Linked DNA regions of Caenorhabditis elegans. The protein of the gene in region 2 interacts with the protein of the main gene of each other region in a pairwise test. Each region holds a gene or a part of one and is shown on either strand. Other genes may lie near its edges. The genes, in order: lim-4 and C46E10.8.

Region 1 (6,913 bases), on a different chromosome or scaffold from region 2:
AAATGCAATTTGAACTCTGAAAAGTTGGTAAATCAAGGTTATTTTATTTTAGATCAAAACTGAGCGGCTTGTTCGTCGGCTGGTAGATCAAATGTGAACTTTTTAATGTTTCAGCACGTACTGATTTGGAAATTGTTACTTCAGTTGAATAAAACTAGTAAATCAAAAAAAAATCTAAAATTTACCATGTGTTGGCGGAATTGATTTATTGTGATGTGTATTGGATTTTTTGTGTATTATTGTTTCTTATGACACGATTCGTTTGGAATCGTATTAAATAAATAAAAAATAAAAAAAAAATTGTCCACACGTTCAAGAAATACGTAATTTTAACCTACCAGCCGACAGCCGACAACCGACGTCTGAACACTATAAAAATATCTAAATCGTGGCTGGTTTTTTTTGAAGTTTTTTTTCTAAGAAGTATTTCAAGATCAACCAATCAAAATTTTATAATTATTCTCAAATTGTCATTTTCTGATACTGTGAAAAGTAAACAATTTTTTACCAGTGGTTTAGATTTGCTGCATGTTTTTTTTTTCATTTCCAGTCAGTTTCTGGAGCAAAATAACGTCCTATATCTCTTCAGGAAGAGGTTTTTCAGATTTCAATTCCAATCTTCAACCCTCCCACAATCCTAACAACTAATAGTATTAATTTTGGTAGAATAATAAGATGCTTCCAATTTGATGCACACGTGTCGAGTGGAATGCGCCAAATGGTGGTGTGTAGGTGTGCTTCTTCCCCGTCTGTTGTTCTTTTTGAGAGCCCCCAGAGCCAATTCACATTAATCCGATAACTCTTGTTATATATGTATGTGTATCGAATCCGAAAGGATCACTATTTTAACAATAGTCCTTCGGTATCACTACCTCATTCATGTTTTCCTCAGCGGCATCCTATGAAAACGGCAGGCCTGGCAGATTGTGCGACATGAATTGATGCTCATTAGCATGAGACATCCAAGTCCTCAAGACTGGTGGCAGTAACAAGCAAACTAGTCAGGAGCCTCCAATTTTGGTGGCTCTATTATCTGGCCGAACAATTTACCCTTATTGAAACAGATATTAGTCACCTTTTCCTATTTTTTCCGAAAAACTTGGAAACGTAATATGGGATACGCAGTAGCCATGGTTTCATTATTTGAGAGAGGGGTTGCAAAATATCTCTACTTACTTATTATCTTCTTTATGATAATATTTTGCCTCCAAAGCCATTATCACACATATTTTATTCGCAACGGACACCTAGGATCATTTTTGAAACTTGTGTAGTATAACCCCACATTTTGAATACATAGTTCGAATTTATTGTATAGAAAAATACAAATTTCTAAGGCTGAAACGCAATATGTGTATCATTTTAATTAAATTGGATGAAATTCTAGAGTTCTAACATAATTTTTAATAAACAGGATTATAATATTCAAGTCCCATATTGCCTTGCACCCAATTGTTTAATTTTGTCAGCTTTTATCTCATTTTTAGTTTTTTTTTGCATTTTCACTGTATTCTAGAGGTGGACAGCAATTCTACAAAATTACCTATGTTCCATTTTGTTCCAACTTTTTCTATTGAAAATTGATATTAAATTAAGGGAAATTACTTAATTAGTTTGAAAATGACATTCATTGAAACGTTCAAGAAAATGCTGAAAATTGGTTGATTTTCAAGTATCGAATAGTCGAAATATTTAATTTTTCAGGACAGTTTAGAGCACTTTTGAAAACGTTTCAGCTAAAATAAATAGATTTTTTCGGAAAAAAAAACCATCTCAAAATATGCATTTTTGTTCAATGGCCTGGATGCCAGACCATTTCTTAAAATGTTTAATGCTCTAATAAAAACTATCAAACTAATTTTTTTTTTGAAATTTAGCTGTTTATTTATTCATACTTCATATGATATTAATTATTCTCGATATTAACACTTTATTTGCACTTGATAAGCATTAAATAATTTCCTATTGTTATAACTTTAATTTGGGAACTTTCAGATTCCGGAGATCTGGGCTCCTTCTTTTGCCGGACACTCCTACGCAAGCAGCCAACCACATCCGCCTTGCCGCCCAATAGTGAGCATCCCAGTGGGCGGGGCGAGCTTCTAGTGAGGCCTTTTCGACAGAACAACAGACTAGAAGGAAGACTTTTGCGTCGGTGCTCGTCGACTCGTTAGTGGTCCTTGTTGTCTTGTTATCTACAGCTCGGCCGGCAGTTCGTTAAGAAAGCAGCTGTCACAAGTTGCACCATGGATGCTCATCTTGTTCAGGCAAAGAAGACGTCGACGGCGTCTGAATTGTCAGACTCGTCGCTCACGTTCCCCTTCATCGGTGACTATTTGTCGAGTCCTTCGCTCACAACTTCCGACTACGTGTCTGATTGCTCCAACTTGACTGTTGAGGGTCCAGTTCCTGCCAATCAAGAGTTCTCGTCGTCCGACGAGTCGTCAGTCTACATTTCAAGTGCTCTAAGGCTAGCTGATTATGCCTTTACTCCAGATGATAATATTCGAATCAAGGTGAGGTCTAGACTTCAATTTGTTTAATTGTATGCATCAGCTTTTAGTTTTTTTTGCCGATTTTTCAGTCAGCAATTTAGATGGTTCCTGTATTGTTCTGAAGTTAAAGAATTTTGTGAAAAACTGTTCTTCAAAGTTTTTGTCGAGTTCTAGAAAGAAGTTTTTCGTCGGTTTTTGTTTACGAAAAGTTCTTATAAAATTCTTACTACTAAATAAGTATGTTTAATATTTATCTGAAGGATAATAATTTCAATTTCACCACACAAATTCAAAAATTAAAAATATCCACATCTTTTATCCAATTTTTAGTGACTCAAAACTTATCTTAAAAGCAAGATCTTACACCGGAAACGACTTGAATAGGATCCTAATTGTATAGTTTCTTTTCATATGATTTTTTGTCCACAAGACTACTGTAATGGTTGCAGCCTGATGCGGTAATCGTCATATGCACACAATGTCAACATCAGATTCAAGACAAGTTTTTTCTAAGCATCGATGGAAGGTAATATTGAATTGGATTTGAAAAACATTTGAAGACTTTTTTTCAGAAACTACCACGAAAATTGTCTTCAGTGCAGCACATGCGAAAACCCATTGAGCAATAAATGTTTCTACAAAGACAAAACGTTTTACTGTAAAGGATGTTATTTCCGGTTAGTTGATTGGTGATTAGCCATCCCTTGAGAGCACTGAGCAAAGGAAAAAGCTTAGTCAACTTGTTTTGTTTAAATTTAGTAGTGGATAGTCGTTTTCAAAAAACTGAGGAACAAACTTAATCCGAATAGTATCAAAAATAAAAATAAAACATACATGATCACCGAATATTGCCTAACAAATCCTAAAATAACATGTATGAGGCAGTACTTAATGAGGTGCACAGTTGTGCGCGCGAATAAGGCCCGCAGCTGTCAGCTAGGACGAACCTGGTTCCGTTATGTAATATTACAGTAATCCCCCAGTCCTTGGTCTCTCGGAACCTATATATTATCAGATTTGGGGCCGGGGTTTATATTGTTATATTCCTCTCGCTTGGTTTCATCTTTCATCATAACCGTTGTTAAATTGAATCAGTGCCAGTTTCTTCTTGGCTTCCCTCAAAATTCGTTTTAAAAACTCAGTTTGCTCCTAAGTTTGGCTCAAGAAAAAAAAATGAAATAAAACTTGGGACTTAAAGAAAACATTTCAAAACATTCAGAATAGAAGAATCGATAGTTCAGAAAAGACACGGGGCGCGTTAACCGAGTTATTCTCTATATGCTTTGTGCTCCACACATCCTAAAACGAATAAATCTGCGCGAATCCGTTTAAGCAAACGTGGATGTTGTGTGTCTATTCGTGTTCAACACAAAAAGAAAAGAAAAGGAAACTGGTAAAGATGATGCTGACCGAATTGTCTTTGTAAAGAAATAAGGGAAAAAAGTTGAATTTCCTGAATGTGCCACAAAAAGAGAACTTTATAGAGCAAAAAAAACCCTCGAAGGGGTAAAAAAGTTAAGAATATTTGAAACAGTTAAAATTATGGAAACTTTAGAAAAAAGCAAATGGAAATAATTCTCAATATTTTTGAGGCCTACTCCAAACCAACTCCAAACCAACTAAACCTACTCCACATTTTTTTGCAGTTCCTCAATAAACTTCAGAGTGTCTGAAATTAGGCAAACACTCTGACAGGTTTCGGGAATTTTTCATCTTTTTTCTGAAAAAAAATCTGAATTTTTAGACAAGACCAAGACTGTAATGAAATTTTTCAGTCAAAAAATTATTTTTAAAACTTTGCCAGTAATATATATTTTACTTTAAAAATGGCTATATTTATGGGGCCATTCAAGTATTGTCCGAAAATTAAAAAGTGTTGAAAAATGACAAAAAAATTAAAATACATAAAACACGTATTTTAATACAGTTGTGCCGTTATGAATGTATTTAAATACATTTTGCAACATTACTTGAATAATCCCATTACATTACGAAAAAAAAAAATTCGAAACTAATTTCTGAATTGAAAAATGGAAAATTTTCAAATTTCAGCCTAAATTAATAAATTATAATTTTTATCACAAATTTAAACCGTTACAGAAGATTTTCTGTTGTATCTGTAATACCACACAATTTGCTGATCTACCTTAAAGTTTATGGGCTTAAAACACCTGAAAATCATCCAAAAACTGTATACAACTAGGCTTCTTCTTACCCAAAGGAACCCGCTAAAACACCCTGTAACAATTGACTCTTGATTATTCAATTCAAGTGTCTGTTTGATAGACCCCCGCCAGACTTCCGTGTGACAGATGGCTCATCCCAATGTCTCGTGTAAAAAGATGCGGCGACATGTTGCGCGGTGTCGTTTATACAGTACATTTAGCCACTTATCTTCTTCTATTATTATAAGAAACGCTTTTTTGTGCTAAGGGGCTTAAAAGTATGGGAAAAAGCTATGTACATATAAAACCAATTATACTTTTAAGAACGCATGTCACATCAACCGCTTCCAGTTGCAGAGAACTTGGACCCAAGTGTGCATCTTGCGATCGTACTATTCAGGCGACTGATTGGGTACGAAGAGCAAGAAACTATGTATACCATCTTGCGTGTTTTTCGTGCAACCAGTGCAAAAGGTAGGTATTCTAAATTTCATATGAAGACTTTTAATTGACATAGTTATTTCAGACAATTGAGTACAGGGGAAGAATACGCACTTCAAGAGGGCAATCTTCTCTGCAAACAGCACTTTTTGGAACTTGTTGAAGGAGACAGTGGGGTGTCTAGTCAGAAAGCTAAGACTAAAAGGGTTCGGACCACTTTTGCGGAAGATCAATTATCGGTTCTTCAGGTATGCAAGTTACAATTGACGTGAAATAGAAAAATAGTGATTTCAGACATATTTCAACCGGGACAGTAATCCGGATGGTGCTGATTTGGAAAAGATTGCCTCCATGACAGGACTGAGTAAAAGAGTGACCCAGGTGTGGTTCCAGGTAAGATATTGTGCCCAAAAAAATAAATTAAAAAAAATTATTTTAAAGAATTCACGAGCTCGTCAAAAGAAATGGCATCAAAAATCCGAAGGTGACAATGGAGATAGCCAGAGGTCATCTGTGGGGCCTTCCAGTCCTAGTCAAAAATCGGATAGCAGCAGTGAAATGATGTATCCAACTTCTGTAACTACAAGGTACCTACAACCTAAACTTTTATAACTACCTTTCAATTTTCAGCGTGGAAGATGCAATTCCGGACTCAATCGTTATTCTGGGCTCACTACAATTCGATTGAAAAACAATCTCATCCGACTTTCCTCAATTTCAAAAATATATCATCGCTTTCTCGGCTAACTTAGAGTTTATCTTTCCTGTGGAAAATACGCTTGCTTCTAATTTGATAATTTTTTCTGGTCAAAACGAATCTCACCTCTCCCATTATCTAAATCTAAATTCCCATGTCTCAAAACTACGTATCAAGATTTTAAAACTTGATACCACAGTGCAGCTATGTATGTGACATGTACATTTGCATTGTCCCCCCCTGTTCTCTTAATTTCCTATTATACAAGTTATGATACTCGATTAAATTACAGTCTCCTCCATTCTGCTTAGTTTTGAATAAACCTAACCATCTTTGAAAAGTGAACTATATTGTCTAAACCTTATGGCCTTTCAGTCGCCAGTCTCGTCTTAAGAGGGGCATAACCTGTTCATTCAGAAAGGCATCTTCTACTTGCCAACCATGTACACTTCAATTTCACACTTCTTCGCTACTATTCGGTAATTTTTCACTCAACTGTGTCATTTCAATATCTGTTTTTATAATTTTGAATATTCAACTTAGTTATTCCATTTTTGTATTATAATAGACAGTTAGAGAAATCTTTCTGAAAAACTAGCTGTAATTTTAGATGTTTGGAAGAAACTTGAAATTGGATTTTAAAGAAAGTTTGGAGCTAAATTTTTTCAATATTTAATGTTTACAATATGCGGGTTAAAATTCTGATCAGTCAAAAGTGTTTGGACTACTTTATCAGAATCGGTTTTCTTATTTAGTTTTATTCTGAAAATTGATTTTTTTGTCTGAGAATCTGTAGATTTCGCAAACGGTAATTTAACAAAAATCAACTAATGTTTGCAGTCAGTTTCAGTAGGTATTCTATTTTTTGGATTTTTTTTACCTGTGTCTCTTGGGTTTTCTTTAAGGTGTACAAATTTTATCCAGCTTAACATATCAAAAAGTGTATTCAAGTTATTTTACCTCTACAAACATATTGCAAACTCAAATCTTGTTCAAGTTTAGTTATACGTGTAATATTTTTGAGGTAGGTAATTTTTTTATGCCGAAAATTTGAATTTTAATAAATATAACTTTTTCAAAAGTCACCTAAAAACCATGAATTTGAAAATTTATAA
Region 2 (4,629 bases):
CAAGGATGATCGTGAGACACTGTTGTCTGGATTTGTAAGCTGAAACTTTTTTTCATGGAAATCGTCATAACTTGCAGATTACCAACTGCTCCTCACCAGTGGACAAGTCTACGTTCTGCTATGCCGGTGTTCCTGAAGTAACCGGAAATATTCACTACCACGAGACGAACAAATCCGTTATAGCCGGGGTGATTAGTAGAAGCATTGAGAATCGCCCCGAATCTAGTGAGAAATTGGTTTAATCCGTCTACAAGAAAGCATCTTTCAAATTTCAGATATGGAGGTGGTGGAGGTCACGTATTTGCACAAGTACATCAAAATTCTGTGTGAAATCGCAGGAATTTGTGAAAAGTGAGCAGTTGCTGGTGAACTTTTCAAATTTAAAATCCATATTTTCAGACAACCAACACCGGTGAAAGAATACGCGGCCGACGAAACAACTACCACAACTCCTGAGCCAACAACGACAGTAGCAGAAACCACCCCAGCTCCAATACCACCACAAAAGCCGACACCTGCTGCTCTCGGCCAGAAAGAGGATTTGACAGGATGTGGGACGGATCGTTTGTGCTTTGATGAGGAGATGAATGCATCGGCTAGTTTCAAGAAGGTTGTGCTCATTTTTGTACTTTTGATGCTTTTCCGGTAGATTCGATTTATTCGATTTTAATTCAAACTTCTGGACACGAATGAAAATGATTATTTTTTTACATGCTTAATTATAGCAATATAAAACAGGGAGCAAGACAAAAACTAATTGTGACTGGATTGGACAAGATGCATGTTGAAGGCGTACTCATTGTAGCATTGTGCTCCACAAAGTGAGCACTGAAATGGGTTGCCGATCGTGTGGAAACTGGTGTGGAGCTGGCCCAGCACAGCGTCTTTGAACTCAATTTCACAATGCTCGCATTCCTGAAAACAAGTGTTTAGAGCAAAATTTCAGGTCTAGGCCTACGTGGCTAGGTACCTAGGTACCCAGATACACAGGTGCCTACGTGCCTAGATGCCTAGGCAGCCAGATGCATAGGTGTATACGTGCCTATGTGGCAAAAGTACACCTTCTCAAAGATAGGAAGGTGTTTTTCTGCCCTCATGAAATGCGAGCTTTGACAACTTACAAATTTTGGCTGCTGAGGTTTCTGTGCTCCATGGAACATCGAGGTAGATTCGCCAAGTAACTGATCTGCATTGAAAGTTGGGGATCCCATTGAGCTCATCGATTCGCCCCGTTCACAGAGCTTGCTGTTTGTTGGCAGAGCGCGTGGGGTTTGAAACTTCCAAAAAATAGTCAGCCTAAGTTGAACGCCAAAACTTCAAATAACTCACAGAGGTTTGACCATCTGGGGTGACTTCTCCGAGCTCTGATAATCCAGAGCTTTTCTGCAAATCTGCCTGCTCGCCGAGCTTTTGGCTTGACGCGCCGAATCCATCATTGCTTTTTGACGACAAGGATGCTTCTATCGCTCTCAACATCTCTCCAGATGATTGTGCTGCGAAGCTGCTTGATCACTTTGAATGGAGCTGAGCAATTGAGATGGCGGAGAAATCTGAAAATCCAAGCTTTTCCATACCACAATAATGAATTCTTACCATTGGCGCGAAGCACGAAAAAGAGGCGAGAACACGTGTGTCCCCGAGCTGTGGAGATCCAGAAGAAATAGCGCTGAGCAACGGAGCTGGTGGAACGATCTAAAACCCAAATAGTTTGCTCAACACAATTCAAAGCTCTTACCATAGTTGCAAAGCCTGAAGAAGAAGGAGCAGGTGAGCCCAGACTGGGAATTGCATGAGCTCCAGAATCAGCAGTTTCCAGATGCTTTTTCATATGGCGGTTCAAGTATATTTTACTTGAGTAATGGGCTCCGCAGATTTCGCATGTATGCTTCTGGAAAAAGGTAGAGTTTCAACACAAAGGGATTTTCTGTTCAGTAAAAAAAACTAAACTCACACTTTTGTATCCAGCGACTTCCCGAGCATATTTGTAGCTCTTCAGGTGGGACTTCAGAGATTTCTGAAATTGTGATAATTGGAACTATAATTGGAGCAAAGTTTTCTCTTACCCTGCTCGCGTAAATTCTGCTACACGCTTTGCATTGGTAGACAAACTTGCCCAACTCCTGAATATTTTAATTGAATCTTTTGAAAACAAACGTGGAAAAAGTTACCTGAGAATGAACTGGGTCAAGCAACTGAGCAAAATTGGGAGCACCTGGGGTTACAGGCAGGTCCATTGATAGAAGAAAAAAGTATTTAAATGGTTATGAATGCCCCTTTACGGAATGGAGTGTTGGAGGCAAATATCGATTGAGCGCGCGGTATTGGCGGAGGGCAAATGGGAGGTCAGAAAGAGAGACGCAGAGAAAGAAAGAAAATATGTGTAGTTTCTAATAAGCTTCAAAAAAAGACTATTCGGCAGTTTTTGGGCGCCCGAAAAACCTTTTTTCATATTATATATCAATTTTAAGTTTCACTCGAGAACTAAAACTAGATTTATTGAATGGCGTTACGAAAAATAACTATTTAACAGTACGAAATTATCAATTAAAGTCCACTAAAATTATGATTGGCAGTAACAATATGAATTGTAAACGCCAGATTATCTTCACACTCAGCTCCACAAAATGAGCATTTGAATGGGCTTCCTGGAGCGTGAAGGGCATTGTGCAACAGGCTCATTGGGGCATCGTCGAATTGGATCTTGCAGTGTTGGCATTCCTGAGCTGGATTCTGAAGTTGAGCTGGATTCTGAAGTTGATACGGTCATAGGTGACCATCTGGTTGAGCAAGTTGACGCTGGAGCCGAAGAGGTCAGATCCTGAGAAGATGTATTAGTTTTGAAGCATTATATAGTTTTTTCTCACCGTAGAATGATAATAATAGTGATGAATCAGGAAATACTTGGCAGTTCCAAAGTGCTTGCGACATTTCCTACACGGAGCCAAATTGTGTGGTGAAACGAGGTGGTGGTGCTCGAGATGACGTTGAATTTCCAAATGAGACCGAAATTGCGTAAAACAGTTCAGCATGGGGCAGTCGAAATGAGATCGTTCTTTGAGATGTGTGTACAGATGCTCTTGTAGCTGAAAATTCTGAAAAGTATATAAAAATGAAATTAGTTAGCATACCCTATTCTCTCTGTGAAGCGTTTGTTGACAAATGTTGCACTTCTTGGATTTTGTTCCAGAATGAATTTTTCGATGGCGGTTTAAGTTTGGCTTGTTGGCGAATTGTTTCTCACAGATTTCACATTTGAATTGGCGATTAACCTGGAAAAAGTTTGTTGTAGAGGGAGAAGCTCTTTACATGAAGTTAAACTTACTGGCCTTACCCCATTAGAACCGGTGAGAGTTTGGTGCCTCGTCGAGCTCAATGAGTTGGCTGGCTCACAAACATTACTGCTTGTCGGAAGATCACTTGCGTACTTGAGCTTTCTCTCACTGAGCCTTGAACTCACTGAGCCTTGACCATCAAGGGTGGCACCGCTGAGCTGTGGTGATCCATAGTTTTTCTGAGAATCCGCTTGCTTTTCGAACTCCTGGTTTGGCATTCCATCATTGATCTTCAACGGCAAAGAAGCTTCCAAGGAATTCCACAACTTTCCTTCACAGTTTTCAAAAAAAGCTTCTGGCGTTGTCGCAACACCGGGAAAAGAGCTGAGCAACTGAGCTGGAGTAGATACCTGAAAACCAAAGATTTTGCTCAATATACAATTTAAACTCTTACCATAGTTGTGAGGCTAAAAGACGAGGGAAGAGAATCAATGTTGATATAGGTCAATGGTTTTTCTTCGAAGAGCCTGCTTCTCGTTGGGAAACCACTGGTGCCCGAACTTTGACTATCAACGGAAAGCTGTGGCCATCCATTGGCTGAAGCTAAAGCTGAAGACTCTATGAACAAGCTTTCCTGCAAATCCGTTTCCTTGCTGAGCTCCTGACTTGGCCCACCATCTATTCTTTCTGCTGACAAAGAAGCTCCCATCGCATTCAATAACTCCCCTAAAGTGTTCTGCGCGGCGTCTGCTGACGTTGTCGCTGATTCTACCTTCAGTCCACAATGTTTCTCTTTGAAATGAGCAAGGAGTCCTTGAACACTGGCGAACGGAGCTTTACACTTCTTGCACCTGGCCTATGTGGCGACAGAAAAGATGTTCGAGAAGTATCTTTTGCGAACTGAACTTCATCTCGCACTGACCAATAGGACACGTGAGATAGTTGGTCTGCATAGGAGCTGGAGAAGCGGCAGTTTCAGTTTCCAGATGACTTTTCATATGACTGACCAGGCTTCTTTGGTAATTGTATTTCGATCCGCAGAATTCGCAGGTGTACCTCTGAAATAGATAAGTTAGATAGAGTTAGATAGAGATAGATAGATTATGATGCCAAACGCTATCTATTAAGCACTAACGTCTTCGTAAGAAGACAGCCCAAGTCCACATTTGGTGTTCCGTATGTGATTGCTCAGAGATTTCTGAGAATGTAATTACTTGAACTGTTGCACCTTGCGCAATTCCTGAAAAAAAATGGATCCTTTATTAATTAATTTGTGAAAATTTTACAGTACCTGAGAATAAACTGGCACAAGAGCTTGAGCTTCAGGCAGGTCCATTGATAAGAGAGTAGAGGTGAA

Evidence for each region.
Region 1: the proteins of C46E10.8 (region 2) and lim-4 interact in a two-hybrid assay, tested with the Caenorhabditis elegans proteins (one large-scale study listed by BioGRID).

Annotation. Positions count from the first base shown.
Region 1 is NC_003284.9:3,868,629-3,875,541, reverse strand, and holds lim-4 (LIM/homeobox protein lim-4), read left to right. Parts: upstream 1-1,997; 5' UTR 1,998-2,246; coding exon 2,247-2,516; intron 2,517-2,944; coding exon 2,945-3,021; intron 3,022-3,067; coding exon 3,068-3,172; intron 3,173-4,984; coding exon 4,985-5,134; intron 5,135-5,186; coding exon 5,187-5,349; intron 5,350-5,395; coding exon 5,396-5,494; intron 5,495-5,542; coding exon 5,543-5,688; intron 5,689-5,731; coding exon 5,732-5,789; 3' UTR 5,790-6,138; downstream 6,139-6,913. UniProt on the Caenorhabditis elegans protein: Transcription factor that binds to the promoter of target genes. Regulates genes involved in serotonin synthesis and release in serotonergic ADF neurons.
Region 2 is NC_003280.10:3,725,201-3,729,829, forward strand, and holds C46E10.8 (C2H2-type domain-containing protein), read right to left. Parts: upstream 2,865-4,629; 5' UTR 2,819-2,864; coding exon of another isoform or gene 2,490-2,818; 5' UTR 2,235-2,489; coding exon 2,169-2,234; intron 2,121-2,168; coding exon 2,064-2,120; intron 2,015-2,063; coding exon 1,952-2,014; intron 1,889-1,951; coding exon 1,736-1,888; intron 1,693-1,735; coding exon 1,594-1,692; intron 1,551-1,593; coding exon 1,470-1,550; 3' UTR 1,122-1,469; intron 916-1,121; 3' UTR 650-915; downstream 1-649. Other genes in the region: C46E10.1 (uncharacterized protein), read left to right, coding at 1-34, 78-225, 276-351, 400-649.